Linked DNA regions of Tamandua tetradactyla. The protein of the gene in region 2 binds, or shares a complex with, the protein of the main gene of each other region. Links are inferred from orthologs where the notes say so. Each region holds a gene or a part of one and is shown on either strand. Other genes may lie near its edges. The genes, in order: NSMCE3, EID3, NSMCE1 and NSMCE2.

Region 1 (6,973 bases), on a different chromosome or scaffold from region 2:
ATATGTACAGTCTGTATGAAAAAGCACAGCCATTCATGATCTCTCTCCTGCCTTTATTGCCAGCTACTTAAAAGGTACATAAGCACTTCCTCAACCACAGAACACTGCCAAGAAACTTAAAAATTATTTTGTATTCAGATCAATTTAATTACATACAAGTGTGCTTACAGGTAATATTTACCTTGTCCAGCTCCATTTATGTGAAATAAATTCTCATTCCATAGTATACTTTTTCTCCCTACCTAATTGGTTTGGATACCAATTTAGCCACAAATTTTTCAGTTTCAAGTAAGAGGAATCAACTCTATGCAGTTTAAGCAAAAGGAGATTTTACTAGCTCCAGTAACTAGTTATCCTTACAGTCCAACCTTGAACTCTGGATCCAGAGATTCAGATGGCAGCATGAGAAATGTCTCTTCATCTATTAGGTCCTCTTTGAGTTAGCTTTGGAATTTTCTAATAGAACTTAATCATTTTCTTAAGAAGAGCTTTTTGTACTAAATGGTTACAATGCTTTTGGAAAGCAATAATCTAGCCCCAACGCCCCATCCCTTCCACCAGCCAAGGAAAGCTCTGCTTCTGTTTAGAAATGCTTAATTTCATGACGGGCAAAATGTTATTAGGCAGTTTATCATGTCATCTAAGTAGGAAGGATCTTTGCTACAAATAGTAAGCACAAACAAGAGATTGTATTGCCAACATTAAAATATTTGTATTGTTTTCCCTATTTACCCACTAAAATAATCTTTGTCCCCAAGTCCCTTGTTCATATGCTCCATGTTTGTTGTTCCACTTTCTTTCACTGGAAAAGTCAGGGAAGTTGCTCACATATGATAGCCACATACTTATTTTTGCATGGGCAAGCACCCGCATGGCAGGTGACAACTTTGCCTGCTGAGCCACCATGGCCTGCCCCTATTATATGATTTTATCATTGCCTTTCTTCCCCCAAAAGTCCTCACCTACTTTTAGCACTAGGTTGCCTGTTAGAAAAGTTAAAACCTTTCTTGGATCCTGTGAGAAATACCAGCGAATGATGAGGAAAATTCTGTAGAGAATAAGGATGAGTACTTTCTTAGCAGGCATTTGCTACCAAGGAGATGAAATAAAGCATTTAATTAGAGACCTCTAAAGAATTATTGGTGGTAGGTATTTCTTTGTTCAATGCATTTGAAATCTTACCTAGCTTAGTTTTTGCCTCAAAGTATGAAGATTATTAGCAGAAAGTGTTTGAAAATGTATTTCTTTTTTAACATCTCTTTCCTTCACTACCTAAACAAAAAGTCACAAATGACATTCAAACCACATCAAACTGACTGAAAATTTGAATGTGTATAACTGTTATGGCATGATGTCAAGAAAAGTTAAGCTTTGTTGAGAATATATTTACATTTATTTCCCAAGCAAGACAACCTATATTGAATTTATTTTTAAGAGAAAATAATTTTAATAGGAACTTGTTTTTCCCAGACGTTTTTTGATTTTTGTATGAGCACATTTTTAACTGTAGTATCTTTCTCTATATCACTTTGTGTAACCCTCAAATATGTATTGACTACACTGCCAGGCTGTCCTTGGTGCTTGGCAGACCTTTCTTACTTAGTTCCCAAGGCCAGGATCAGAACTCTAAATCTGGAGTATCAGTAGCTTTCTGAATGTCTTAAATGTTTCTAATCTAGGACCATCTGATTCCAAAGCCCTTACTCTTGCAAAGACACCAGGTGTGTTTTCTGCATATCAACATATGGTTAAGAGCACAGGCTCTGGAAGCAGACTGCCTAATTCAGATCCCAGATCCCGGATCTACCACTTAATTGCTGTGGGGCTGCAAACCCCTTATATATCTTCTCTGGGCCTCAGTTTCTTCATTTGTGAGAAGAGGAATACAATAAACGCACATGCCTTATATATTTGTTGCAAAATTAAATGAAGTAATACATGTAAATCACTTGGAATAAGGTCTGATCCAGTTACTTTTGAATTATCATTAGCCATTGTTGTTCTTCATATTTATTATTACTGTGCTGGCTTGAAAGGAAGTATGCCCCCTAAGAAAAGCCATGTTTTAATATAAATCCCATTTCATAAAGGTAGAATAATCTCTATTCAATACTGTATGTTTGAAACTGTAATGAGATTATCTCCCTGGATGATGTGCTTTAGTCAAGAGTGGTTGTTAAACTGGATTAGGGGATGACATGTCTCCACCCATTTGAGTGGGTCTTGATTAGTTTCTGAAGTCCTATAAAAGAGGAGAATGAGAGAGTCAGAGAGCAGAGAATGCTGCAGCACCACGAAGCAGAGTCCACCAGCCAGCGACCTTTGGAGATGAAGAAGGAAAATGCCTCCCGGGGAGCTTCATGAAACAGGAAGCCAGGGGACAAAGCTAGCAGGTGACACCGTATTCGCCATGTGCCCTTCCAGCCGAGAAAGAAGCCCTGACTGTGTTCGCCATGTGCCATCTCACTTGAGAGAGAGACCCTGAACTTCATTGGCCTTCTTGAACCAAGGTATCTTTCCCTGGATGCCTTTGATTGGACATTTCTATAGACTTGTTTTAATTGGGACATTTTCTTGGCCTTAGAACTGTAAACTAGCAACTTATTAAATTCCCCTTTTAAAAAGCCATTCCATTTCTGGTATATTGCATTCTGGCAGCTAACAAACTAGAACAATTACCATTCTCTATATTTATTATTGTGATGATGATTATTATCACCACTGTCATCACAATTTGTTCCCACACATCCATGGTTTCCCATGTCAGTCTGAGGTGGAATGTTGGCTTGGGTTACTCTCTATGCACTGCTTAAAATTCTAACACTATTTGATGCTTGTATTTTCCCACCTGCATTCTTCTAGACAGTGTAGAGCTTGTTTTGTTTGTTTTAATTAGAGATGTGGGCTTAAAGAAAAATCAGGCATAAAATCAGGGTTCCCATGTACCACCCTATTATTAACACCTTGAATTTGTTACAATTCAAAGAATGTTTTTATAATTGTACTATTAACTATAGTCCATCATATACAACACGGTTCACTATGTTATATAACTTTGTTTTTGTTTTAATTTTCATTCCAGTAACATATACACAAACTCCAAATTTCCCCCCTCAACCACATTCAAATATATAAGACTTAAAATCTACTACCTTTTCTCATCCATTTTAAGTAATAAAGATTTGCTGCCTGGGTAAGGATGCTACTGAAGGACCCTGCTGATTTTCACAAGGTCACAGGGGAGTCAGATGGATGGGGCTGCTTGGTAATTTAAATAAAACTTATTAAAAAACACTGAAACCCCAGACTAGTTGTTGAAAATGGCTTTCAACTTTTTATTTTCCATTGTTCCTTTATCTTTTTATTGGTGACATTTTTAAACTTAAGGTACAACTGATCATTCTGTGGAGACCTTTTGCAGAATTCTAGATAGACTGCAGGAGTTTTTTGAACTTGAGTCTGAATTTTAATTTCCAAGTAAATTTTGAAGATTTTTTTTTTCTTGTAAAAAAAAAATGAAGGCATTAATGATGTATTTATTTTTCTTGGTGGTGGGTCTTTCATTAAAGTGAGGATATGTTATTGTGCCTTGTGTAAAACAAAGTTGTTACTCCATGCTTACCAGATTTGTAGCATACTTGTATCACAACATGGAATACCTTTTATACTTAATATTGCAGTTCCAATGCTGTTATCAAATTTCATTTTCATACTGAATTACAAACAAAAAGTCTATGCTAACATTTAATGAAATTTTAATAAGGTTGTTATTTTGAGGTTATTATTCAAATATATTCTGAATTGCTTTCCTTTGAATATATTTTGCATTAAAGAAGAACTCAGTTTGATTTAGATTTTTGTACAGTTTACCCACTTTATAGAGTAGCTTCAAAAAGGCAAAGAGGGGAAATTCATTTTCTTTTGCGAGGTGGTATGATTTTAATTAAGTAATAGCAGCAGACTGCTAATGGTTTAAGTTAATGAAATAGCTCTTTCGGGCTATTCGAGTTGCACAATTAAAAATATATATACAAAGTGCACATATCAAAGATTATGAGGGATAACAGCCCGGGATTCTCTTTTCTTTCTCCTTAAGCTCTAAGGCTGATCTGTATTAAGAATTAAGAAATTCCAGAGTGACATTTTTGTAATTCAGCATCTGTGGTACCCCAAATTAAATGGCAATGTCTTGAGAGAGCATGCTTCTGTTTGTACCATTCCTCTTACCCCATTCCAACTAAAATTGTGGTTGTGGGCCCAAGGCAGTGAACTTGAACCTAGGGGTTCCAAAAGATAAATTGCTTTGAGCAAGCGAAAACCTCGCATTTAAACACGCTGTACGTGGCGGTTTTGTCAGAACTGTCCAGCTGATGCAGTTTAATGTGGAAAATACAAAAACTGAAATAGTGAAAAGGAGGGGTAATTCCCGCTCGCCAAGAAAACCTACCTTCATCAAACATTTTAAAATAAACTCTTGGGGACACGAAAGTTAACTGGGCGATCATAGTTAGGGGAAGGCGTGGCGAAGGAAAGTCTGACTGTCTCCAAATAGAAGTTTTCCGGGTTTTCCTCTTTTTTAAAAAAAATCCACGTTCCCTGTAGAAATAAATGCTTTTCCTTTACTTTTTACAGTCTTCCCTTCTTCTTCACCCTGTTTTTCTCCCATATGCATCCTCTGAGTTCTCGCCACTTAGAAACAGTCCCAATGTAAAAACTCTTAATACTCACTTTCTATAGAACTTGCCTGAGCCTGTTTCAGCTTGAATCTTGCCGCATACTAGTTTAGGAGTTTCGGTGCCAGCTCTCTATTTGTATGGTTTGTTAAGGATAGCACTTAAAATGATTTAAAAACAAACAAACAAAAAAACGAGCTACAGACAGCAAGCCAACTACGCGCGCTCTTCTCTCCCGCCGACGCGCGGCATTCGCGCAGACGCCACGAACGCCACGCCCAAGTTCCGCCAACGTAACAAGAGTTTTCAGTGACGTAAGGCGCGCCCCTCTGGCCCCGCCCCGGGACGTGCCTTGCGCAGGCCCAGATGTGACGTAGCGTGCCTCGCGTCTCCGGCGGCTTCCGCGATCCTGCTGCGGTCCGTTACCGCGAGCGGAGTTCGAGCCGGCGCCGGGAGTCCACCGCCGAATGACATGCTGCAGAAGCCGAGGATCCGGGGCCGTCCTGGCAGCCAGGCCGAGAGGGAAAGGGACTCGGGCCACGGCGGGGAGGAGGCTCCGAGTACCTCTCGCGGCACAGGCAGCTCGCAGGAGACTCTGAGCGCCTCGCCCAGGGGCACCCACGCCAGTCAGGCCACCCCTGCGGTGGGGCCCCGCACGCAGAAGCAGCTAGAGCTGAAGGTGGCCGAGTTGGTGCAGTTCCTGCTGATTAAAGACCAGAAGAAGATTCCGATCAAGCGTACCGAAATCCTGAAGCATGTCGTCGGAGACTACAAGGACATCTTCTCTGACCTCCTCAAGCTCGCCGCCGAGCGCCTCGAGTACGTCTTCGGGTACAGGCTGGTGGAACTCGAGCCCAAGAGCAACAGCTACATCCTCATCAACACCCTGGAGCCGGTGGAGGAGGATGCGGAGGTGCGGGGCGACCAGGGCACGCCCACCACGGGCCTCCTAATGATCGTTTTAGGGCTTATCTTTATGAAGGGCAACACCATCAAGGAGACTGAGGTCTGGGACTTTCTTCGTCGCTTAGGGGTGTACCCCACAAAGAAGCATTTGATTTTCGGGGACCCAAAGAAACTCATCACCGAAGAGTTCGTAAGGCAGCGTTACTTGGAGTACCGGCGGATTCCGCACACTGACCCCATAGACTATGAGTTCCAGTGGGGCCCGCGTACCAGTCTGGAAACCAGCAAGATGAAGGTGCTTAAGTTTGTGGCCAAAGTCCATAACCAAGACCCCAAGGACTGGCCAGCACAGTACTGTGAGGCTTTAGCAGAAGAGGCTGGTAGGGCCAGACCTGAGTCCGGTGGTCCGGCCCCCTCCTCTTGAAATCATACACAGATTTTTGGAGACTTCCCGGGGGAAGGGCCTCGGGCCCAAAGGCTGGTGCTGAGGGACGGGGGGAGAGGGGACAGTGGGCCATCTTTCGTAGCACTTGGAAGTATGTTAACTTTAGGATTTGTTTGCAAAGTTTTGTACCTTTAACATTCTTAATTATTTGATTCCAAGTCGACACATACCAAAGAGAAGGATGTGGTCGTCGTGAGGTTGTTTTGATATGCTTTATTTGTCTGTATTTTTTGGTATAAAACTTTTGCCAGCTTTGTGAAAGTAACTGGGGAACTGCACCATAATCCGGAACAGACTTGTAAGAAAGAACACATCGGTGAATTGTTTGTTTGTTTTTTGTCCCAAGAAAATAAAAGCAAAATGGCTATTATCTGGCTTCATAACTACCCCAGTTTGTAAAGAAAAATAAGTGTCTTTATAAATTGAAAATGAAATGTAATTGCCGGTGTATCCTTTTTTGCTTTAACACAGCTGTTTTATTGTTATATATTTTCCTCTTATAGAATACATTTTGAATGGTTCCAACTAGTGTACATAATTTATTTTCTCCGAATAGCAATTTTTAAAATCTTACTATATAATCATACTTATTACTCAGTTCTGTTGCTGACCATTTTATTTTTCCTTTTTGTGGTTTTAGTTATAATCAGTAATGTATTTTTGAAGCAGTTAAGCATTGTATGTTTTTTCAATCGTGGGTCATGAGAAGTTGTGACTCAAAACCACCACCTTAAAAAAAAGGAAAAGATAGTTCGTGCTACTTTATATAATATCATAAGTAGTGTTTTTTAGAAGTTGTTTCACTTTTATTTGTGTGTTTATATTGGGTCGTGATGTAAAACATTTTTTGCTGCAGCTCTCCCAAAAGTTTATGAAACAGTGGCTTATTAATGAACCATGCTTGCTTGGGAATCAGACTGCTTAGATGCATATCCTGGCCCCACCACTA
Region 2 (7,317 bases):
TTCCTTTTTAGGCTGCATTTAAATACTTGTAGAAATTGGACCATAGGTTAGAAAATCACAACTACTTGTTGATTCTTTGGGGAAAAATGTTTATTAATATGTAAAAGATCACATATCAACAAATAGGACATCTTTTGAAAAAATAAAACTAATTCTTTAACACTAGTATAACTTCATTTTAATGATTTTGTCCTTGTTTTCATGTATACATACTTTGATATCGTTGCACATTTTCATTATAAAACCAGACCTTTATATCTGATAGAAGTTTAAAAAGGGCAGAATGTAAATTGCTGGTGGTAGGAAGTTAAGATGTTTATACCAAAAAGTGAGTGCATATGAGTCAGGATCAGAAGAGAACATAGGAAAATGAGCACAGTTCATGTAAGTAATGTGAGGCAATCTTTAGGTTGCACCTGAAGTTGTTACTGTTTAGGTAATGTCCTATTTTCTGCAAAAGATAAATTATTGTTTATTTGTAAACAGCTTATAGGCAAACTGTCAAGAAGGTAAAAATGGTGAGCATTATAGAGAAGATTTAAGCCATTTAGTAGTGATTTTGAAATTCACAAGGGTAGAAATCTATTTCTTTGTGACTATGAGGAAATCTCTAGACTTGAAATTGTTTTACTTTGTAGCAGTGTCTGAAATCATGTGCTGTATTTGCAGTCAGTAATGCAAGTATGATTTTCTGAAGATGATTTAAATTACATTTTACTAAGGTTCTTGGATACAGGACCAGCATAGAATGAAAGTACTGGACGTCAAAATTGATTCATATACTGCTTGCCTTGATGTGTTCTGTGCCTCTGTGAGAGTTGTGTGGGTTGTTATCTCCTGAGAAATCACTGTAAATGGAATTACTAATACTTTATAAGTAGGTTGGGGGAGTTATATATTTTTCTGAAACATTTTGACATTTTCAGATGAAAGACTGTGTTTGAAGCAAATTGGTGTGTGAAGCAAATTTTCCTTCCTCTGAGCACAGGAGAAAATAAATACCTCGTGCTTGTCTTTTGGAGAGCTTTCATAAACTGCTTTTATTGAAGATAAATTATCAGAAGGATAGAATCCTCACTCCCAAGAATATGGTCATCTAGTAGCAAACTTTTCTGCATTTTGGGTCTTGGAATTATTAACTGTATGTTTTCACCTAAGATTTAAAATAGGTTTAAATTTTATTTTGTAATTGCCAGACATGGGGAAAACATGGCTCTTTAAAATGATCCTGATTCCCAAATTTGTTATTGTCTCATTTTCCCTGTTTTCCAGAAAGGGCATGAGGTTGACTTTTTTTTTTTTGGTTAGAAATAATTGTTTTATATAGTTGAGTGATAATTTAGATACACATATATACATATGCTTATCACAGTGAGGAAAAAATGGTTTAGAAAGAAGGGTTTTTTGTTTGATCTGTGTTTAAAGGGGTCACTAAAGAGAATAAACTTGCTTAGGAATTCCTTTTTAATAGTTTTCTTAAATAAAAGCATCCTTTGATCACAATGGAGAATAAATTCAACATTTATTCACTAATGCAATAAAAAAATACAATGTAGATGCTACCAACACAGTGAAAGGCACCTCTCAAATCTTAACACTACAAAAAGACTAGGGAGTTCTATAGAAGATTAAAGGCATTTGGGGATTTCTCAACATCTTGATGACCAGACAACAAACTGCAAGATATCAGGTAAATGATATTAGCGAGAGTAAACTAGGTACTAGGTATCATGCAAAGACTACATATATTAACTCATAGCATCATATCTTATCTGCACTAAGCAATAAATGACCTCCATTCTGCCATTACTAACTAACAGATTGTGGCCGTTCTTATTTTCTGGTTCCAGGGAAATAACCAGAGATGCAGCAGTATAATAAATAAATGTGATTTTCCAGGCTTGCCAGTTGCTAAAACAGAGTCTCCAGGACTATACTAGATGCTTATGGTAGATCTGCACAGGCTAATTTTAAAGTGCATGTAATTTAAGCCCGAGCCTCTGAAATATCATTTGTAAGGTAATAGTTTTATATATTCATAAAGTTTAAATTAAGATGAAACAATCTCATATAAATAAAAACTTGTTAAGAGGCATCCAGTCTCTTATAGGCTTCTTCAGTGAAAAAGTTAGTATGTCCTTCATCTGGGATGAATTGTGAAGAACATCCCAGTCCTTCAGAAGAGCATTCTGGTTTGGAATCAGCATCAAAATTTCTTTCTCAAGTACTGGTGCTTTGAGACTGTTCTGAGAAAGCTCTGGAAGAGAGAGTACTTCACTACTATCCATTTGAAACATCTGTTTTACCTTCTCCTCCTCTCCTTCCATCTCATTTGTCAGAATGTGAAGTTTGCTTTTGAGGCTTTGAATGTTCTCATTGACTCTGTGGTCTCCACTATTTTATCTGTTTCTTCCTGCAATATTGCCAGACCTTCTTCATTAGCACTGTGCTATGCCCTTTCCATTTTCAGTAGACTTGACACTGTTAAATTTTTCTGTTTCACACAGTTGTAGCAATCTTTTCTTCAGACAGTTGAGATGATACTGGATTTGTTTGTTTTCTTTAATATTGTTACTCAAATTGCTATTATTACTGACTCCATCATAGATTGTAAATACTTTCTGCTACTCCTTGAAAGACGTTGCCAGGTTTTTCTCTTGTTGGATGTTATCTTTATCTGTTTCAGATTAGTATGCTTTGTTTTTCCATCTGGAGAGAGATGATTTGGGTGTTTTTAAACCCTCTTTAAGGTGTTTAAGAGGGTGTTTCTACCCTCTTTCTCTGATAACTCCATTTCTTCATCAGTTTTTCTTTTTGGATTTCTTTTTAACTTGAGATTTTTTCTTGGACACATTTGCTTTGTCAGGCATCCCCTATAAGTGGGAACAATTATAATGTGCTTCAAAAATCACTAATTCCTGTGGGTTAGTATTTAGAGAAATTGGCGCCCAAACAATCGAAAACCATGAAACCGGGAAGTGGCTGTGTAGCTGAGGTTGACTTTTTATAAAAGAAGTCAGATTTTACTTTCAGTGTGTAGGATAAATGACCTATACTAATCTGTGAATTTGATCTTTTCTGCCAAATAACTTCCAATAGGTGCTGGATCAAAGTTTTTAATCTACATTCATTTATTCATTCAGTGCATGCTTGAGTGCCTTTATGTGAAAACGGCTGTGTTTGGGAGGTTTAAAACCAAGTCTTTGCTTTTGAGATGCTAATGCAGAGGAGAATGTATATGCACAGGTAACTATGATGCATGTTGTTTTCGAAAAACACATCTTTCTGAATTACTCCTACTTAAAATAATTGTGGACAAAGAGTGGCATCATAAGGATTTTGGAGTAACTTAATAGTTGGTTTTGCTGTTCCTGCATTCGTATGAAACGTTATGCTACTACCTAAGAAAAATGAACCAGTCTGCAGAGGAAGGAAGTTACGGGTTAATTGACTTCCTGGCCCCTGAAGCCCATGATTGGCAGGTGTGGTGGGTCGCCTTTTTTCTTCAGCCCCCTAGCGGCACCTGTGGTGGTTAGTAAGCGCTTTCGATGGCGTGGGCTGAGAGCGAGTGTTAATCCCTTCCCTGTGCCTGGGTGCTCGGGACTGACCGGCCCTCTCCAGCCGGAAGCGAGTTTCCAGCCGCTTCGCTGAACTAGCGGGCGAGCCTCCCGCAGGGTCGCGGCGGGTCCCGGCGTTCGCCTTCGTGGCCCGACGAGTCCGGGCCCCAGGCCTCTTCGCCGCGCAGGCGACCCTGGCGGCCCAGTCCCCGTGAGCGCGCTCGCGGCCCGCGGTAGCCTTCCGCTCGGCGTGGGGAGCCGGGGGCCCCTCGCGAGTGCGCGCCCGCGCGCCCGCCCTTCCCCGGCCCCCGGGAACGAGTTCCCAGCGTCCACCTTGCGTTTGATCCTGGAGAGTTGGCCTCTATAATTGGGGTGTGCATTTCATTATCGTTGCCCCGCGAGCATTTTATAATCTAACCAGACTTTCGGGTTCTCAAAAAAAGGACCTTTTCATCGCGAGAAAGAAAAATGTAGGTCGGCCTAACTGCACTGTATCGCGGCGAATGTTTTAAAGAGTGGGACCTTTCCCCCCTGAGTTTGCCGTAGCATGTCTTTACAAATTGAGTGACATTGTCAGGAAGCGCTGAGCCAACACCTGTCCCTTGAGCAGGTGTTTTTCAAGTGCCCATTGTTGCGTGGCGTGCGGCCGCGGCCTGTCGCTAGCGCGGAGGCGGGGCCCAGCCGGCCGCTAGTGCGCATGGGCGGGGACGGGCCGGCCGCCAAGTGCGCATGGGCGGTGCTGGGCCGGCCGCTGAGGCGCGGAGGCGCGCGGCCTCTGGCTTCTGCCGGCTTCGGCGTGCGCGGCGGGGGAAACGTCGGGGAGGCGCCCAGCCGAGGGCGGTGGCTGGAGGCATGTGTGATGAAGAAGGTTCCCCGAGAGCTGGCGAAGAGAAGAGACAGAAGCCCGGGCGTGAGCCCGCCGTGAAGCCGGCGGCGGAGTCGAGGAAGGTGGAGGAGGCGGCGGGGCCTTCTAGCGACTCTGACGACCCCAGCTCCGGGGACGCAGACGTCGATCCCCAGCTCCTGGGGCTTGCGGATGACGAGGAGAAATGTCGGCGCATCCGCAGGCAGTACCGGCAGCTCATCTATAGCGTGCAGCAGAATCGCGACGACATAGTCAACACGGCGAGCGAGTCCTTAACCGAGGCCCTCGAAGAAGCCAACGTCCTGTTCGATGGAGTGAGCCGGACGAGAGAAGCGGCCCTCGACGCGCAGTTTCTTGTGTTGGCTTCTGATCTGGGTAAAGAAAAAGCAAAGCAGTTAAACTCTAATGCGAGCTTTTTTAACCAAGTAGCGTTTTGTGACCGTCTGTTTATGTTTGTGGGCCTAAACTGGATGGCGGGTGATGAGCGTGATGAGCTGGATGGTTGTGATGCTTCTTTGGCTGTTCACTTTTGGGAGACGGTGCAGAAGGAAGCAGCAACCTGGCTCTTGCAAGCTGAGACGTTCCACTTCATCTTTGGCTCTTTCAAGCATGAGTCTTCTGCACGGAAACCACGTCCTGAACACCAGAAAAAATCTCACAAAATGGAAGAAAACAGAGATATGCCGACAAAGCTGAGGAAGTTGGACCCTAGTAGTAATCAAGAAGCGACAGAAAAAGAAGTAGAAAGAATCTTGGGATTGTTGCAAACCTACTTTCGAAAATATCCTGATAGTCCTGTGTCCTATTTTGAATTTGTGATTGATCCAAACTCTTTTTCTCGTACTGTGGAGAATATATTTTATGTTTCTTTCATTATAAGGGATGGTTTTGCAAGAATAAGGCTTGACCAAGACAGGTTGCCAATATTAGAGCCAGTTAATATTGATGAAACTAGGAAAGGAAACAATTGCAGTTCCAATGGCAGGAAACAAGGAGTTATATCTTTGAGTTTACAGGACTGGAAAAATATTGTGGCAGCTTTTGAAATTTCAGAGGCTATGATCACAAACTCGTAGTAAAGATTTTTGTGCTTAGCATAAATGCGTTTTTGTTTTTTCTTAAATATCTGAAAATGGAGAAAGTAAAATCCAAATAGAAGAACATACTTTGTCTCTTGTAAAGTGGGAAACTTTTTTTTCAAGAACATTAGAAATTGTTTTACTCTCTAGTGTATTTTTCTTGGTAGCTTAAAAGATTGTCATGATCTTATGAAAGAAAAGTCACAGGTATTTTAATGGGAAAAAATGTTAAATACACTTTAAGACTATACTAGTTAAAATAAGTTGTGCTTTTAAAAAATTAATAAAATAATTGATTAATAAATTAAAAAGTATTGGGTAATACAGATGCAGATGCTCTCATAACCTGCTTTGCTTCCATTACTAGGAGCTCTGGGGAACATCAGGGGTTTCTTATTAGGTTGGGGGGACAGTTGGTGAAAAAAATGAGTGGTCAAGAAAGGCAGTTAATATGCAGCCTTAGGGCTAAAAATTCAGTTAACATGCTTCATTGCAGAGGAGGATACAGTAAGATCTCTAAGTGGGTAAACAATTTCTCCTGTGACCAGACTCAACAAAAGTAGAGTATCTTATCTCTGCTACAGGAGGGAAGGTGTCAACCAAGTGCTGAAAGGTGACAAGGAATTAGTCACAGAAGATGGGAAAGCCTGCATTGCAGGCAGGGAAACAGGGCAAACACATGAAAGTGTGAGAAGTTATGGCACAGAAGAACTATACAATTTCTAGGAAACTTCCATTTTATTTTGTTGAACTGGACAAAAAATAAATACCGTCATACACTAGTATCCCCAGTTATTTATTTATAGAATAAATATTTTTTTCACGTTTCTTCAGACAAAATTTTTTACCATCCAGTTATAGGCTTTATCTTTTTGGTAATTTCTTCCCTGATAGCAAGTTTTTCTCGTTGTAATATCTGCTTGTAAACAACATGCCTTTTAGAGTTAGTGATGTTTCATCATGTAAGAGCCTGGAGTATTTGTTCCAATTCAAATATGCATTTCTTTATAGAATTCTAAATGCCTGGATTTAAAGACTTTTGTTTAATTTAAAATACATGATTTATTTCAATGTTCTTTAGCATAAAGCCGTAGAGACTTTTTGTTGTTTGTTTTTTGCAGTTGTTTAAGAATATAAGTTACACCCTTGTTTGGAGATTGTTGCCGAAATTTTGATTCTTAGTGCAATTTTCAAAAGTGTTCAAAAAAAAAAACACCATTTTTTGAAGGTACAGTGAGCATGCAGTAAGCTTCTTTCCCTTATCTCTGTAGGAACGCAATATTTGGTAGTTGTAACTTTTTATCATTTGTCTATTAATTAGTTGACAAGTGTGTAAATATCTCTTATGCATAGCAAAGACAATAAACTTTTAAAACTATTCTGAGTTCAATCTGGTACAAGGAAGGAAAATCCAAAGATTAAATGAATGACATCAAGGTTAAAGTGGGTGGGTTAGGGGGGAATGTCGTGTGTGTGTGTGTGTGTGTGTGTGTGTGTGTGTGTGTGTGTGTGTGTGTGTGTGGTGGGGGAGGAAGAGGTGGGGCTCTTCACCAAAAATAGTGGAGATTTTTAGCAAGAATTGAACTTAGTCATGAATGTCTGCCAATTGTTCCTGAAGTAGTCATTCCTTCCTTTTCCTCATGTGAAGGAGCTAATGCTTCCTGGTCTCGTCAGCCTTTGATTTAACAGTCATAGATGCATCATTGTTTTACCAATCCTCACTTTATGTCTTTACCAACCTAATTCCTTAGATTTTCCAGAGACCTCCTGTTTGGGGAAAAGGTACTCTTAGAATAGCAAAAAGACCATGCTTGGA
Region 3 (7,872 bases), on a different chromosome or scaffold from region 2:
AACCTGGGGGGAATTAAATTCATGAGAAAAGCAAATGACAATATACCTTTATGACTGAAGGGTAGGGAAAGATTTTCTATAAAGACACAAAGAATACAAACCATAAAAGAATAGACTGATAAATTTGACTTCATTACAATTAAGAACCTCTGCTCACCAGAAACACAAAAGAAAAAGGCAAACTGAAAGGCATTTGAAATACATATAAGCCGCAAAACATTCATATCCAGAATATATAAAGAACTCCTATAATTCCATATGAGAAAGATGTTAAGAGGAAAATGGGCAAAATAAATTTCACAGAAATGATTAATAAATGCATTCAAAAGATACTCAATTTCAAGTCATCATGCAAATGAATATTAAAACCACAACAAAATAATATCTAACCCACCACCAGATAGAAAAATATTTAAAAATATGGTTGATCCACAGAGGGTAGGAATATAAACTCTTACAACCACTTCAGGAAACAATGTGATATTACTAGCAAATGTGAATTGCTCCACAAATCCACTTACAAGTATAAAACCTTACAGAAACATTCCCACACTCTCCCAGGAGACATTTTTAGAAGCACTATGTAATAGCCAAACTCTGGCAACAATACAAATGCCCATCAACAGAACAGCTTTGTAAAGTATATTATAATCATATCATGAAGTTCAATACAGTAGTGAAGATGAATGATGTAGAGCAACAAACATCAACAAAGGATGCATCACAAAAATGAAATATTACAAGCAAGAAGCAAGTCATATGAAATACACATTAGGATCCAAAAATTAGAAAACCGCACACTCAATTCATTAGAAATGCTTACACAGATAGTAAAAACTACAAAGAAAACCAAGGGAATGGGTAACACATTACTCAGGGTAGCAGTTATCTTTGGGGAAGGGAGTAAAAGGATTCAGTGGAGACCTTGAGGATCTGATTAATGTTCTATTTTTTAACTTAATGGTGGGTATATGGGTCTCATTTCACTCCTGCCCTTCAAACTTACATTTCACACATTTTTAATAGGTATGTTACAAAAGAAAAAAAAAAGATCTAAATATGTTCAGTGCCAGCCAAAAGAAAAGATGATGAGAAGAACAAAGTACTGCACAGTGTAGTATGTTATAATTTGGCCAAAAAGAGGTGGGGAAGTAGGGCTGGAAAAGGGGCATAAATATTGATATGCTTGTTTTTAACACATAACGTCAGTTGCTTCTGTGAAGATAGACTAGGGAGAGGGGGCTCCGGTTTTAACCATGGATGTGTAACACCCACCCAAATAACGCTTTAGAAAGAAGTAAATCTCAATCCTAACCATCTGAGCCAAGTGTTACACACAGTAGGAGTGCTTCATTTGCGTGGTCTCATTTAATTCTCACCAGGACCTGATGAAGAAAGCATTACTGTCCCCATTTAGAGCTGAGGAAACTGAGGCTGAGAGAGGCATTAAAGCGACACAGTGAGTGAGAGACAGAGAGATAGAGGATGGGGACACAAAAGCACATTCCTGTTCTCAAGGCGCTCCCAGTTCACGTTAGCGAGAAAACAGAACTGTGATCCATGTCCCTTATTTGCAACTCCCACATCTAAAAAGGTCTGAAAACCAAAGTTTTTTATTCAGTTTGAAAACCGGACCTGATCTGAGGCGGGTCTATTTATGGCCGTTATTGATCCCCCTATGGCCGTTATTGATCCCCCTTTGGGTAAACACGCACATTAACCATTAACCACCTGTGTAGTTATCAATGTATTTAATCACAGGACCCTGTCCTAGACCCCGCTAAGGGTATGACAGTATATGCAGCATATTACCTTTCTAAAGCCCGAGAAATTCTGTACTCTGGACACATCTAGCCTCGGGTATGGGGACTTATACAAAGAAGCTCTAGTCAGAGGTCTGCGAAATAAACTGAGAGGGGTGGTCAACAAAGGCCGTATTTTCCATTGATGTAGTCAGCTTAAAGAGAATTTTGTATTTCGCTTTTTTTCTTAACTAATACTACAATTAAATATCGTTTTCACCTAATATTATGATTTAAAAGTTTGGGGGTGTTCCTGCGCGGGTGCCCCCTCTCTGGACTCAGTTTCCCCATCAAAAAATAGGGAAGAGTAGTCCCAAGCCCTCCCCGGTCCCCCGTTCACCACACAGAGGCCGAGCCCGGGCCTGATCCCACTTCTTGCCTGGCCGACCCCCACCTTCCACGCTCCCCTCGCCTTCCCAAACTCCGTTCGACCCCGTCTGCCTCCAGTCCCAGCGCCCCGAATTACCCGCCACGACACTCAACGACCGCCCAGACTGAGCCGGCTGTGATGGCCGAAAATGAACAGGAGTCCTCCCTCGGGGCGGGGCGAAGGCGAACGCGGCACTCTCATTGGCCGTCACCGGCAGATGCTCCCCGCCCACGTGCTGACGTACTTCCTGTTCTGCCTCTCGCGCCGTTGCCATGGTGCTCCGGTCTCTCTCGGTTAAGGTCCCAGTAGGCCTCAAACGTGCGCGCGCGCCGGAGAAGCGAGCTTCCTAGGCAGCGCTCAGTACCGTAGAGTATGGAGCTTCCCGCTTATCGCCTCTGCCTCTTGAGCTGCAGTGGCACTGCCCGAGCGAAGAAGAGGAGGACAGGAGTGCAGCCTGTGCTCTCCAGTGCCCGCGATCCTGCGGGCACAAGCTAGTGCCCTGTCCCGGGCCTCAGTGTCCGTATCTGTAGAACTGACAGTGTGAGCTCATGGCTGAGAATGAGGGCTTTGTTGTCATATAGCCTGAGCTTTGTTGTCATATAACCTGAGCTAGAATCGTGGCTCTGCCGCTTTTATTAGTTGCGGGATCTTGGGCAAGTCACGGAGCCACTCTGAGCCTTAGTGTCTTGTTCCGTTAAATAGAGATAAAATAGGCCCTACGAAATAGTGTTTCTGAGAGATCATGCATATTGAGTACTTAACATATCACCTGGAAAATGTCACATGGTGGAAGTGCTGATTAAATGTTGGCTATTATCTTACCTAGGGATTGTCCTGTGGAGTAAATGAAATCATTCAACGGAAGCCAATGGATGTTTCGAGTATCCAAGAAACATTCTACAAACGTTGGTATGCCGGTTCCTAGTGTGAGAGGAGGAGACATAGGTAATTATAGAACAGAAGTGAGTGCAAGTAGCTAACTTTGTGATGATAGGTTCAAATACCTACTTGGCCATTTACCACAGGTGTGATTTGGGAAAACGACTTAACCTCTTTGGGCCTCGATTTCCTTATCTGTTGATGGGGAAAAGCAGAAAATTGGTTAAAATCTTGAGCTTTGGGACCTCCTGAATGTGAATCCTGGTTCTTAAACTCGAAACCTCTGAGACCCAGGACAAAATTCTCCACCTCTCTGCCTCAGTTGGCCCATCTGTAAATCAAGGATAATTACCTTGTTGGTAATGTTCTTGTGAAGATTAAATAAAAATTCGAGATTATGCAGTTAATACATGCAAGCCACTTAAAGGAATGTCTGGGACATAGTACGTACTCAATAAGTGTGAGCCACCATTACTAATAAAAAGTATTTTATAAACTGCTTTAATAGCAGTTGAATAAGAGAAGAAAATAACCCTCAAGAGTAACATCCAAGTTTTGTTTGCCCTGCAAAGTATTATGTAAAATGTTCGATCCATTATCATTATTTAAAAGTTGAGGCATCTTACATAAAATACTGGAATGTCTGACCACTCTTGAGAAATGGGAAACCTGGCACACTGGGTCAGTATTCTACCGTGGCAGCACTTGTTCAGATCTGGGTAGAGACTAACCCTCTATGTGATCAAGCATGTGCTTTCCTGATGTGTAGAAATAAAAGTTGAGGACCAAGAACAGAAAATGCTGGAGAACATCAACACTTCAAAGTAAAGAGCCAAGCAAAGGAGCAAAGGAGGTAGAAAGAGAAGGGATTCAAAACTGAGTGGTATCAGAGCCACATAGATTAAGAGAAAGTTTTGAGAAAGAAGGTATGCTCAGAGGAGTCAGAAAGATGTTCCACCAGGTTTAGAATCTGTTACCCAATGAGAGCAGTCTCAAAAGAGAAGGGAGGTGCCTACCCATGCCAAAAAAAAAAAAAAAGAGAGAGAGAGAAAGAGAAGGGAGGACACTAGATCAGACCCCTTGAATGAATGGTTGAGGAAGTGCAGAAGAAATGAGGAGTACACTTTTAGGAAGTATGTTTTAGGAAGGGAAGGCTGAAGACTCAGGAGCAGAGAGGGACATCAATAGAATAAATCAGGCAGGATTGCCCCAGAGAGGAATAGAAAAACTTCTGAAGCAAGAGGGAAGGAAGTGAAAATGGTTAAATAGAGGGTCATCCCTGATGTCTTCCTGTTTTCTCTACAAGTAGCAAACAGTATCATTCTGCTGAATAAAAAAGCTGGGGAGATGCCAGGGGATGGAGGGGGTCAAAAGGTTTAGAGCAGATGCCAAGGGGAATGTGAAAGTGAGAGTCCAGCTGTGGTTGAAACCATAAATTATAATATAGAGATGACAGTTGGTTATTTGATCCCCTCCTTCAATCTTCTATCACCATTCTAGAGGCCTCAGAGTAGGAGCTTAGATTGGATCCATTGTGGAGTGGATCTGGGCTGGGCATATGCTGCTGACTCTAGAAGGCAAAGCAACTTGGGGTGGTGATAGGAGTATCTTTGAAGTGGTCCACCATGGTACAGGCAGGCACAGATGTGAGTGAGGGAAAATGCTGACAAATCAGAAGTAAGGGAAGGGGTTCAACAACCAAGGATCTCAGTGAGGTGGATCAGGTTCAGTAGGAGCAAGTAGTAAACAAGAACTGGAGTTCACGATAACAGTGACTACCACAGGGCAAGTATCTGGCCTCAATATAACTCTACCCTAAGAAGATAGTCTACTGTCTATCTGGTTCAAGGAGGTATTTATCAGGACTTTTAATGTACTTTGATTAGACTGCCTGTTACTGGACAGCACTGATGGTTCAAATATTGTTCCGAAAGTTGATCTGAAAAGGTATGATATTTTAGAGAGCTTTGTGTACCTAAATTTGTTCTACACAAGGGAGGTAACTGAGACCTTGGCGAGAGAGGAAGCTTGGAGCCAAATCAAATAATCAGGGGGCTTAGTTTTTCACCTGAAGACTAAAGAAGCTATCAGAATGGAAGTGACAAGGTCAGATTTCTGTTTTAGAGAAAGAACTTAGATTTATTTGTTCTTTTCAAATATATTTGGAACCTTTACTGAAATTGGTTACGTACTGGGCCATAAGGGAAGTCTCAATAAATTCAAAGAATCTATACACCATGTTCACTAACCATAGTGCAGCAAAATTAAAAATCAACGACAAAAAGAGAGCCACAAAACAATCCATATAATATATAGAATACACCTAAATTAGTAACTGCAGTTACTTCTGAGAAGAGGGCCAGGGAGATAGAAAATTTTTTAACTGTGTACAGCTATTATATATGAAAAATAAAATTTTAAATTATAAGCTCATATTTGGGTTTTATTTCTTAAGCTGCGTGATAAGAACATGAATATATAAATGAACATTCATTATATTAATTTTTATACATTTTGTATTTTTAAAGATTTTGATACATTTTTAATGTTTTTTAATTGTGGAATATAACATATATACAAAAAAGCAATAAATTTCCAAGTACGTTTTAACAAGTTGTTATAGAACAGATTTTAAAGTTCGATATGGGTTACAGTTCTACAATTTTTAGTTTTTTCTTCTAGCTACTCCGAGACACTGGAAACCAAAAGAAATATCAATATAATGATTCAGCAGTCATACTCGTTTGTTAAATCCTGTCTTTTCTGTTATACTCCTCCTCCTCTTTTTTCTTTTTTGTAAAAATAACATATATACAAAAGAGCAGTAAATTTCAAAGCATATCACAACAATTAGTTGTAGAATAAGATTTCAGAGTCTTTGTTTGGGTTACAATTACAATTTTAGGTTTTTACTTCTAGCTGCTCAAAGGGAGACTAAAAGAAATATCAATATAATGATTTAGCACTCATACTCATTTGCGAAACCCTACTTTCTCTGTATAAATCCACTATCACCTTTGATCTTTCACCCACTCTTTAGGGGTATTTGGGCTATGCCCATTCTAACTTTTTCATGTTGGAAGGGGATGTTGGTAATATGATATAGGGGGTGGAAATAGTTGATGTTCTGGAGAGGCTGGCGCCTCTGCATTTCGGACTTACCTTGTTCAGGGACACTTCTGAAGGTTATATGTTTCTGGAAAGTTACCCTAGTACATGGAACCTTTGTAGAGTCTTATATAATGCCCTAGGTATTCTTTAGGATTGGCAGGAATGGTTTTGGTTGGGGTTTGGCAAGTTATGATACATAACAATGTCTAACTGAAGCTTGCATAATAGTGACCTCCAAAGTAGCCTCTCAACTCTGAACTCCCTCAGCCACTGTTACCTTATTTGTTACACTACTTTTCCCCATTTTAGTCAGGATGGAATTGTTGGTCCCAGAGTGCCAGGGCCTGACTCATCCCTGGGAATCATCTTCCATGCCATCAGGGAGACTTGCACCCCTGGATGTCATGTCCCTCATAGAGGGGAAGGCAATGGTTTTACTTACAGAGTTGGGCTGAGAGAGAGAGAGAGACCACATCTGAGCAACAAAAGAGGTCCTCTGGAGATGACTCTTAGGCATACCTACAGGTAGGCTAAGCTTCTCCACTACATACATAAGCTTCACAAGAGCAAGCCTCAAGATTAAGGGTTTGACCTATTAATTTGGGTGTCCCTAACGTTTGACACAGGATCTGGGGTCTCCCTGTTGGTAAAGTTTAATAGTTCCATATTTTTTCTCTACTTTGACAATACTTTTTGATTATCTGCTTAATATACTCTGGGATGTATCCAGGCATTACACTAAGCTATACAGGATTGAAGGCTCTCATTCTTAATCTGGGCTCCCTGTTTTTGGATTGTTTAAATGATCTATCCAAACAGGTTGAGTTAGATTATGTGCTAAAGAAAATTTAGGTTGTGGACAAAATAAACCTTTCTTCCTTTGGTCTCAAAGAGTAGGTGAAGTTCTAAAATACAACGTCAGCCTTACCCCTCATAATACATTTTTAAAAGAAAAACCACATACATTTGGAAACTGAAAAATACATATTGATTTAAAAAAAAAAGACCAATATGGAAAATACAAATATTTAGAAATGAATGACAATAAAGGCCTGACATAAAACTTCTAGGATATAGCTAAAGCAATGATTATAGGGGAATTTATAGCCTTAAGCATGATTATTGCAAAACAAGAAAAAAATCTGAAGGAGCTAAGTGTGCAACTTAAGAGGTAGAAAATAACAACTTATAAACCCAGAGAACAGCAGAAAGAAGGATATAAAAACAGAAATTAGTAAAAAAGAAAATAAAGCTGCTTTTGGAAAGCAAAAGCTCATGTTTTTGTTAAAGACTAATATAATAGACAAACTTCATAAAATTAAGAAATGAAACAAATACAATATTTTAAATGGCAAAGAGGATATAGCAGAATAAAAATATTAAAAAGCAAAAGAATGTACTATGAACAACTTTATGCCAGTACAGTAGAAAATTGAGGCAATTTTTGAGAAAATAGAAATTACAAAACTTGACTAAAATAACAAACCATAAATCATAAATAAAAATGACATTGTAGAAAGAGATTTGTTCCAACTTCCAAAATACCCAGGCCAAGTAATTTTGTAGGAGCGTTCAAAAGAAAAAAAAAAAAAAGACAAGTTGCATTATGCAAATAGCACTAAACTATAAACAAAATAGAGAATGCTATCCAACACATACTATAAGGCTAGTTAATCTTTTTTTTTATTAATTTTTTATTTTTTAAAAAAT
Region 4 (8,015 bases), on a different chromosome or scaffold from region 2:
ATAAAGACTTATAAGCAAAGGAATTTGGACATAGAAAGAGAAGCCATGGGGAGGAGCTGTAAGTCAATGGAATCCAGAAGAGAAAGGAGAAGACAACATCACATGCATTGCCATGTGATGGAAGAGCCACGGAACCCCAAAGATTGCCAGATAGCCAGAAGGTACAGACTCTGGGAGGAAGTAATCCTTCTAGACTCTGAAACTGTGAGCCAATAAATTCTTGTTGTTAAGCCAGCCTATTGTATGGTATTGTCATGGTCAGGTTCACGTGTCAACTTGGCCAAGTTGTGGTACCTATCTGTTTGGTTGGGCAAGTACTGGCCTATCTGTTGCAATGAGGACATTTCATGGAATTAGATCATGATCACATCAGCTGCATCCACAGCTGATTCCATCTGTAATCAGCCAAAGGGGAGTGTCCTCTGCAATGAATGATGCTTAATCTAATCACCGGAAGCCTTTTAAGGAGGATTCAAAAGAGACAGAATCTATTCCTGCTTTGGCTGGTGAGCCTCTCCTGTGGAGTTCATCCAGACCCTCCATCCGAGTCATCAGCTTCACAGCCAGCCCTGAAGATTTTGGACTCTGCGTTCCCACGGTCATGTGAGATACTTTCATAAATTTTATATTTGCAAGTGTTCCCTGTTGATTCTGTTTCTCTAGAGAACCCTAACTAATGTAGGTATTATTTTAGAAGCTGGGAAACAAAACAGTTTTTGGTACCGAAAAGTGGGGTGTTGCTATTATAAATAATTAAAAATGTGGAAACGGCTTTGGAATTGGGTAATGGTTAGAGGCTGTAGGTAAAGGAAATATTGTCTTAGAGAATACATATTCATCATGAACAGAACGTTGGTTTAAAGGTGGATGTTAAAGGTATTTCTGAAGAGGTCTTAAAAGGAAATGATGAATGTGCTACTGGAGATTAGAAGAAAGGTGATATAGTGTTACAAAGTGGCAGAGAACCAGGCAAAATTGTATTCTGATGTCAGACTGAAAGTAGAACTTATAAGTGAAAACATGAACATTTAGCTGAGGAGATTTCCAAGCTAAATGTGGAAGATACAACTGGGCTTCTACTTACAGTTTATAATAAAAAGCGAGAGGAAAGGGATAAGCTAAGAACTGAACTCTGAAGCCCAACGAAACAATAAATTGATGGTTTGGAAAACACTGAGGCTGTCCAGATAGTGTCTTCTAAACGAGGGCCAGAAGTGGCACTATCAGAAACCTCCATGAGTTTCCAGAAAGTAAGCCTTCAGGGCCCTTGTAAAAGTTTAAATGAACAACCCTTTGCTAATGAAGGTATGGTTGAACACAGATTCAGTAAGCCATTTTAATGGAAGTCAAGACTGGAAATGGCAGTTATCCTTGAATTATCTTTGGAAAGTTCTATTTTGCCTGATGGTTTGAAGCCCATATAGCTGCATATTAAGCCAACAAATTTTTTTGCAAAATCTGTATGAGGAGAACGATTGCCAGCTGGACTGAAAGGGAACGAGAAGGCACAAATTGAAAGAAGAATGACTTCCAGGATTGAACAATGGAAGCAAAGGTCTGGAACAAACAGATCTCCTTGAAACAACAAGCAGGCCCACCCATTCATGAGCAAAAAGGGTGAACCCACCTCTGCCCTTGGAGGAGGCACACCATCTGCCCCCAGTCTTGGAGAAGGCATGCTTGGAGCTTCAACATTCAGGGAGAGTGCTCCCACCCCAATACTTAGAGCTGGTGGAGCCTGTGCTGCAGAGTTTGCAGAAAGCCTGACTGCCATCCAATGTTCAGAGTACCAATTACGAAGAATGACTAGTGAAGACAAAGACTGACCCTGATAGAAACTGTTGGCCAAAAATATTTGAGTGAGAACAGAATAAGGGATAAATTACTTCTGAGATTAGATTACAAAAAGACTATGGCTTCTGGCTTGCTTGCCCTGGGGTAAGCATGTTGCCATGTTGTGACTGAGCCCTGTAGGGTGGTACAGGTGACTAGAAGCTGAGCCTGTCAGCAACCAAGAGTGAGAGAGCTTGGAAGTGGATCTCTTTAGCCCTAGTTGAGCCTCTCCTCAGAGACTGACAGCAACCTTAGGAGAGACCCTGAGCCAGGCAGCTAGCTAAGCACATCCTAGATGTCTGACCATAGAAATTGGCAGACAAGAAATGTTTGCCATAAGCCACTATATCTTGGTATTACATGTTATGCAGCAATATATAACTATCAGGAGAAGGGCATTCCAAGCAGACATTACAAGTAAGTACAAAGCCCCAGGACAGGAATGTGCTAAATGTGCTTAAGGAAGAGAAAGGTGTTGATATGGCTGGAGCCCAGTAAGCAAGGACAGAAGCAGAGATCAGGGGAGGTGTATGGGGTTGGAATGAGAGCAAGGAGCAATGAGAAGCCACAACAGTTGTCTAGAGTTTCCTCTTGTGAGGGCATCCTATAATACATATAAAGATATAAACTATTAACAAATCCTTTTAGTTTTCTCTGTACTTGCCTGTTAAACCACATTGATCTCTAACAGGCTGAAGTTCAGATCACTTTGAAAATGAACACTTAATTTTCTGCAAAAATAAGGTCTTGCTTGGGAAATGAGAGAAGAAGTGGGGAAGAAATAAAGGACAATAAGTGAAATAGCTATATACTGAGGCTCTCTGAAGACCACCAAACTAACACTGCTGTCTCAACAGGATTAAACTCTAGACTCTCCAGAGCAGGGCAAGCTATGGTTAACAGGTCCAACTGCTCTAAATTTTGAATACTAAGATAGAGCAGAAAATGGTGCCCTGGATAAAACCACTTAAAGCACAGCAACATTACCTGCCTTCTTTCCTACTCCTTCCCAACAAAAACAGATAAACACACGAGGCATCTTCAAGCACAACTTCAGGAAAGATTAGGCATGGAATAATGACATAAAACAATTAATCTCTTATTTAATCCTTATGCCTTTGCCCCAAAATTGCACTGTAGACAACTTCCAAAAGGAATTAGAAAGAGAATAGGAAAAAAATTAAACATGACTGGCAATAGCGAAAAAAATGTTATGGATTTTAAATACCTAGGATAATTTCTTTCTCTAATGTTTAATTTAAAAAGTAAGTTTTAATTTAAAACTAAGTTTTAAGTTGAATTTTTTAATGTAAAAGCAAGATACACCTTACATTTCAGGCACTTGTAGTGAAATGAACCCACTGACAGCAATCCATTTCAACTCAGGAAGAGCACTTGCATCTTTCTATTTCCTTCTCTCTTGCTAAATTTTTAAGGATGTAACAAGTGAAAACCAACATTAACTGAAAGAAGTAAACTCCTTAGTTACTTTATTATGTACTAAACCTCCTAACCTGGATTGATTACCTGGTTAATTTGCAAGAATATTAGGTTAAGATATTTGGTAAATAGTCCTATTTTGGCTGAAAACTGGACTTGAAGAACAAAACCTGAGTCATCAATAAAGTTGCCTCATCACCTTGCAGTGATTTCAGAGGTAGGAGGCTTTACAGAAAGTGTAAGACTTCGTTAATCTTTTTTAAAAAAAATCACTACAGGGATGTGCAAATAAATATTGTAGAAAAAGCTATCCTGAACTGTCCTTTGAGAGATTCTCACGGTGCTAGGGACAAAGAAAACTCATAGATCAGTTTTCTCAATTAGATCATAACACTATTAGCATAAAAGAGAACCAAAAATTCCTCTTGTTTTCCTCTTTCCTTTTACAAGTCACCCCCCCCCCCCAAAAAGGGGGTGTAACTTTATTTTAGGAAACTGGCATGGAGCAATGATTATCAGTTTGGAAAGTAACCCTAGAAAGACAGCATGCTTTCAAAAGTGAAGTTTGTCATCATCACAGCTATAATCTAATGAATACAGAGTCAAATTTCTGAAGGAAATTAAGTTGTCCTGGGAAAAACCACTGCTTAACCTATTCAGAGGACAAAGGAAGATAGGTCTATTTTTGTCATTTCATAAAACCTCAGCTTCAAAAGGAGGAAGCACAGATCCATTATCAGGAACACAATAAAATGGTTGTTGACCAGATAAAAGCAAATAGCGCATTATCTCTTCCAGAAAAGTTGTGAAGTGAGCCTGATCATTCTAGTCCAATTCACGAATCCTGGGAAAGACAGGTGAAAGAAAACTGGGAAAGGTGTCCCTGTGGCCAGAGGCAGTGAAACTTCTTCCTCCTTTCTACTTGCCCATCACCAAAGCTGGAGAACACAACGCGCTTGGAATCAGGAGATCTATTTCCATTACTGGGTCTGTCACTTTTTATTTTTACTATGTTCCATAGGAGAATCAGGACTCGCGGAATTTTTTTTTCCCCCAAATGCAAAGGGGCTTTGGTACCACCATGTCACAGGGGAGGAAATTAAGGTGCAGAGAGGAACAAAGACTTGCCCAAACTGAGTCCACAGCAGAACTAGAATTCAAACCCCGTCTATCACACTGTAAAAGCCTACCCCAACCACCGTTTCTCGACAGTAAATACAGGAATAACGATGTGCACAGCAGCGCTCCCAGAAAGTCGGGAAGATCTGATGCGGGCCAAGCAGGTGAACATCGCTTCCTCAAGCGCCAAAAGGGTGTGCAAAATTGTTTCCATCTAAGTGTAGAAGTAGAGCCTGGAATACCCAGTCCCAGGAAGCCACTAAATCCTCGGACCCAGCGCCCTCACTCCAGACAGACCCCACCGGATGCCGCAGATCTCCCTTTGACCTGCGAGGCCCAATTCGGGGGCAAAGGCAGGAAAAGGGGAAACATGCAGGGAGGAGGCGCCGGCACCGGGCCCGACTTACCTGTCACCGGGGCCACGCCAGTAGCGCACGAGCGGGGTAAGTGGTCGGACGAGGAGCCGGCACCCCTGTCCCCTGCCTATCTGTCCCGCGGGTCCCCCTCAATCCCCAAACCCGTCTGTAAGCCGTTGGGCCCAGGCTTCCGCCCCATGACCGTCACATGACCAAAAGGACGGAGAGCCGGGAGGAATGTCATGTGATCCCTTGTTGGCGACTGTTGATGACGTAGAAACCCGCGCTCGCCGTTTCAACGACAGTAGAAGGGAGTTAGCAGGGCATTGGGGTCCAGGAGTGGAAAGTTAGGGTGCAGCCAGACGAAGACCGATCTGGCAGGCAGGTAAGACGTGGGGGGTTGCGATGGAGAGGGTGGCGGGAGTTGTCGCCTTCTGTAGTGCGCGCGCTTCGAGCTGGGGGTCTGGCGACCGTGGATGTGGTGCTGGTTCTTTTCACGTCACAGCGTCGGGGGCGGGGGGGGGGGGGAGGTCAGTTTACCTTCTTGTCCGAGAAGTCATCTCTCTATCCTTCAGCCCTATGTGTTTGGAGAAAAGATCGCGAACTTTTTATTCAAACAGATTTTGTTTGAACTGTGTTTGAAAGTAGGACCTTGGGCAAGTCGTTTAAATAAATAAACTCTCCGGGCCTCAGTGTCCTTTTCTCTTATGTGAATTGTGAGGACTAGCGATGATGAGAGTGAAGTCCTCCGCATCAGTTTATGACAAACTGTAAGCGACCAAGAAATGGTGATGGTTGTTGTTGTTGCCATTATTTGATGTATTGCTCGCCTATTTTGTGTGAGGGCCTATTTTATGTGCTCTAGAATGTGTTAGGGTTCTAGTATAAGGAGTTCCCAGGGCGAAGAAGTGGCAGACGTGAGCAAATAGTTGCGATAAGTTTTATAATAGATGAGTGTGTGATAATATAGTGCTAGCTTCGGGGAGGAAACAAGCAGTTGCTTTGTATGGATAAGAGAAGGATGCATCCTTGCATCTTGATAAAGGATACGATCTTTAACTGAATTTTTACGAAGCTCCCATGTATTTAGAGGTCAACAGAATGTCTACGAAGTGTTTATTCTGTGCCTAGCAGTGTGTTGTATGGAAAAATAAGGGGAAGAAGCAATAGAGAAGTATTTTTATGTTTGCATTGGCTTATAATTGGCACTGTCTACAGAGCATCTTACAGGCTTGTTAGGGGACGCAAAATAACATGCTAGGGAAGAGCACAGGAAATGCATATCCTTGATCTAAGTTTTCTTGGAGACCGTACTACAGGGAATAAGGAGGGAAGGCTACAAAAGGAGGTTGGTTTAAACCAGGATTTCTCAGTGTTGACTCAAAGATACTAAGGACTCTGTTTCCCATAGTCAGAATGACACTGCCAATCCATGGGGCTTGTTGGCAAAAGAGATAGTCAAAATATCACCACTGGATTCTTCTAATGCTTCGTTTGTGTGAAGCCAGGCTGTGAGGGATGTTTTTGACACCTTTATGGAGTTTTGTGGAAACAGAAGGTGTAGAAATCTTGGCTGGTTGTATACATTAATGAGGGAAAGGGATGAGCTTCAAATGAGAAGCTTACGTGCTATATGACAGATATAAATGTTTCTATGAGTGCTTTGAAGAAAACTTTTATTTCCTGTAGCCACAAACATGAACTCTCCAAAAATTAGACTCAGAATCTTATTCTTAGAGAAGCAACTTTACAATTTAAACGGAAATCCCAATCTTGCATGCTGTCTGTCATTAAAATGAGGGCATTGATTGGAAAGGGGTGGGACCCTGAAAAATGGAATGGCAACATATGGATTGATTTTGATGTCAGTAGACAGGTTGAAACCCCAGATTGTGCTGATCTTTTCTACATAACCCTATAATAGTCTGCCTTGAGGACTTAGCTGCCCCACCTCCAGCCTTCCCTGAGGAGTTGGCCACTCAGCCTCCACCTGGAGGTATTAACCCTAGAGTGATTAATCATGTTTCACCAGATGAAACTGCAAATGAATGCCCTGAAGCAATTGTCTTGGAAGATATTTCTAATTCTTTTCAATGACCCCCACCCCCAACGCCGTCATTTCTTCCAAACCTAAATCTAAAGTCCCAACAGGCCCCAAAGGGTGAGGTACAAAGTGTCACCCATAAGGAAGTACGTTATACTCCAAAAGAACTCTGTGAGTTTCCCAATTTATATAAACAGAACCAGAGGAATATGTGTGGCAATGGATTTTAAGGGTGTGGGATAATGGTAGGAGGAATATAAAACTGGATCAGGCTGAATTTATTGAAATGAGCCCACTAAGCATTCAGTGTTACAGTTCTAGGGGTTAGAAAAGGCATTAACAGTTTGTCTGGATGGTTGACTGAAACATGGATCAAAAGGTGGCCAATATTACCTGAAGTTGAAATGCCAGAACTGCCCTGGTATAATGTAGATGAGGGAATCCAACGGCTTAGAGAGATTGGAATATTAGAGTAGATTTATCATGGAAAGCCTGCTTATACAACCCCAGGAATGTCCAGAGGTTGCACCTTTTATCAAAACTGTGAGAAATAAATTTATGAGACTAGCTCCATCATCCCTGAAGAGCTCTGTAGTTGTCCTTCTCTATAGGTCAGATATTACTGTGGAAAATGCTGTCACTGAGCTGGAATCCTTAAACACAGTGGGGATGATCGGATCCCAAGTTGGCAGAAGCCAGATGGCAGCACTTAATCGTCAAAGACAAGGTGGACCTGGCTATCATAATGGACAGCAGACTCAAAGCAGGAGTCAAAATAATCTGATTTGCAGACTTGTGGCGTTGGCTAGTAGATCATGGGGTACCTAGAAGTACAATAGATGTCAGTCTACTAAATTCGTGTTTGAGCTATATAAGCAAAAGAGTTCTAGGTCAAGTGAACAAAAGCCCACCTTAAATCACAAAAACAGAGAGTCATGGCCCCTTAATTGAGACAGTTTACGACCCAGAGCCCCTTGAATGAAGGGGAAGCCAGGTCCCTTTGGGGGAGGAGAGGACCCTGTTACATTGCCACAAATTTATACTGTTAATCTTCCTCCAAGCCTTCCCCAAGGAGACCAATGGTCTTTTGCCAGGGTAACTGTACATTGGGGAAAAGGAAATGATCAGATATTTTGGGGATTATTAGACACTGGTTCAGGAGTGACATTAATTCCAGGGGGCCCAAAACATCACTCTGGTCCACCAGTCAGAGTAGGGGCTTA

What was found.
Region 1: EID3 (region 2) and NSMCE3 share a complex: the UniProt entries of both Homo sapiens proteins name them as parts of the SMC5-SMC6 complex. The link is inferred for Tamandua tetradactyla from reciprocal best matches to the Homo sapiens genes EID3 and NSMCE3.
Region 3: EID3 (region 2) and NSMCE1 share a complex: the UniProt entries of both Homo sapiens proteins name them as parts of the SMC5-SMC6 complex. The link is inferred for Tamandua tetradactyla from reciprocal best matches to the Homo sapiens genes EID3 and NSMCE1.
Region 4: EID3 (region 2) and NSMCE2 share a complex: the UniProt entries of both Homo sapiens proteins name them as parts of the SMC5-SMC6 complex. The link is inferred for Tamandua tetradactyla from reciprocal best matches to the Homo sapiens genes EID3 and NSMCE2.

Annotation. Positions count from the first base shown.
Region 1 is NC_135338.1:81,819,747-81,826,719, reverse strand, and holds NSMCE3 (non-structural maintenance of chromosomes element 3 homolog), read left to right. Parts: upstream 1-5,005; 5' UTR 5,006-5,145; coding exon 5,146-6,003; 3' UTR 6,004-6,458; downstream 6,459-6,973. UniProt on the Homo sapiens protein: Component of the SMC5-SMC6 complex, a complex involved in repair of DNA double-strand breaks by homologous recombination. The complex may promote sister chromatid homologous recombination by recruiting the SMC1-SMC3 cohesin complex to double-strand breaks.
Region 2 is NC_135333.1:174,450,090-174,457,406, forward strand, and holds EID3 (EP300-interacting inhibitor of differentiation 3), read left to right. Parts: upstream 1-4,297; 5' UTR 4,298-4,409; coding exon 4,410-5,498; 3' UTR 5,499-6,879; downstream 6,880-7,317. UniProt on the Homo sapiens protein: Tissue-specific component of the SMC5-SMC6 complex, a complex involved in repair of DNA double-strand breaks by homologous recombination.
Region 3 is NC_135349.1:26,270,590-26,278,461, reverse strand, and holds the start of NSMCE1 (non-structural maintenance of chromosomes element 1 homolog), read right to left. Parts: upstream 3,018-7,872; 5' UTR 2,995-3,017; intron 2,405-2,994; exon of another isoform or gene 2,197-2,404; intron 1,910-2,196; exon of another isoform or gene 1,813-1,909; intron 1-1,812. UniProt on the Homo sapiens protein: RING-type zinc finger-containing E3 ubiquitin ligase that assembles with melanoma antigen protein (MAGE) to catalyze the direct transfer of ubiquitin from E2 ubiquitin-conjugating enzyme to a specific substrate.
Region 4 is NC_135332.1:169,607,742-169,615,756, forward strand, and holds the start of NSMCE2 (E3 SUMO-protein ligase NSE2), read left to right. Parts: upstream 1-5,000; 5' UTR 5,001-5,133; intron 5,134-8,015. UniProt on the Homo sapiens protein: E3 SUMO-protein ligase component of the SMC5-SMC6 complex, a complex involved in DNA double-strand break repair by homologous recombination. Is not be required for the stability of the complex.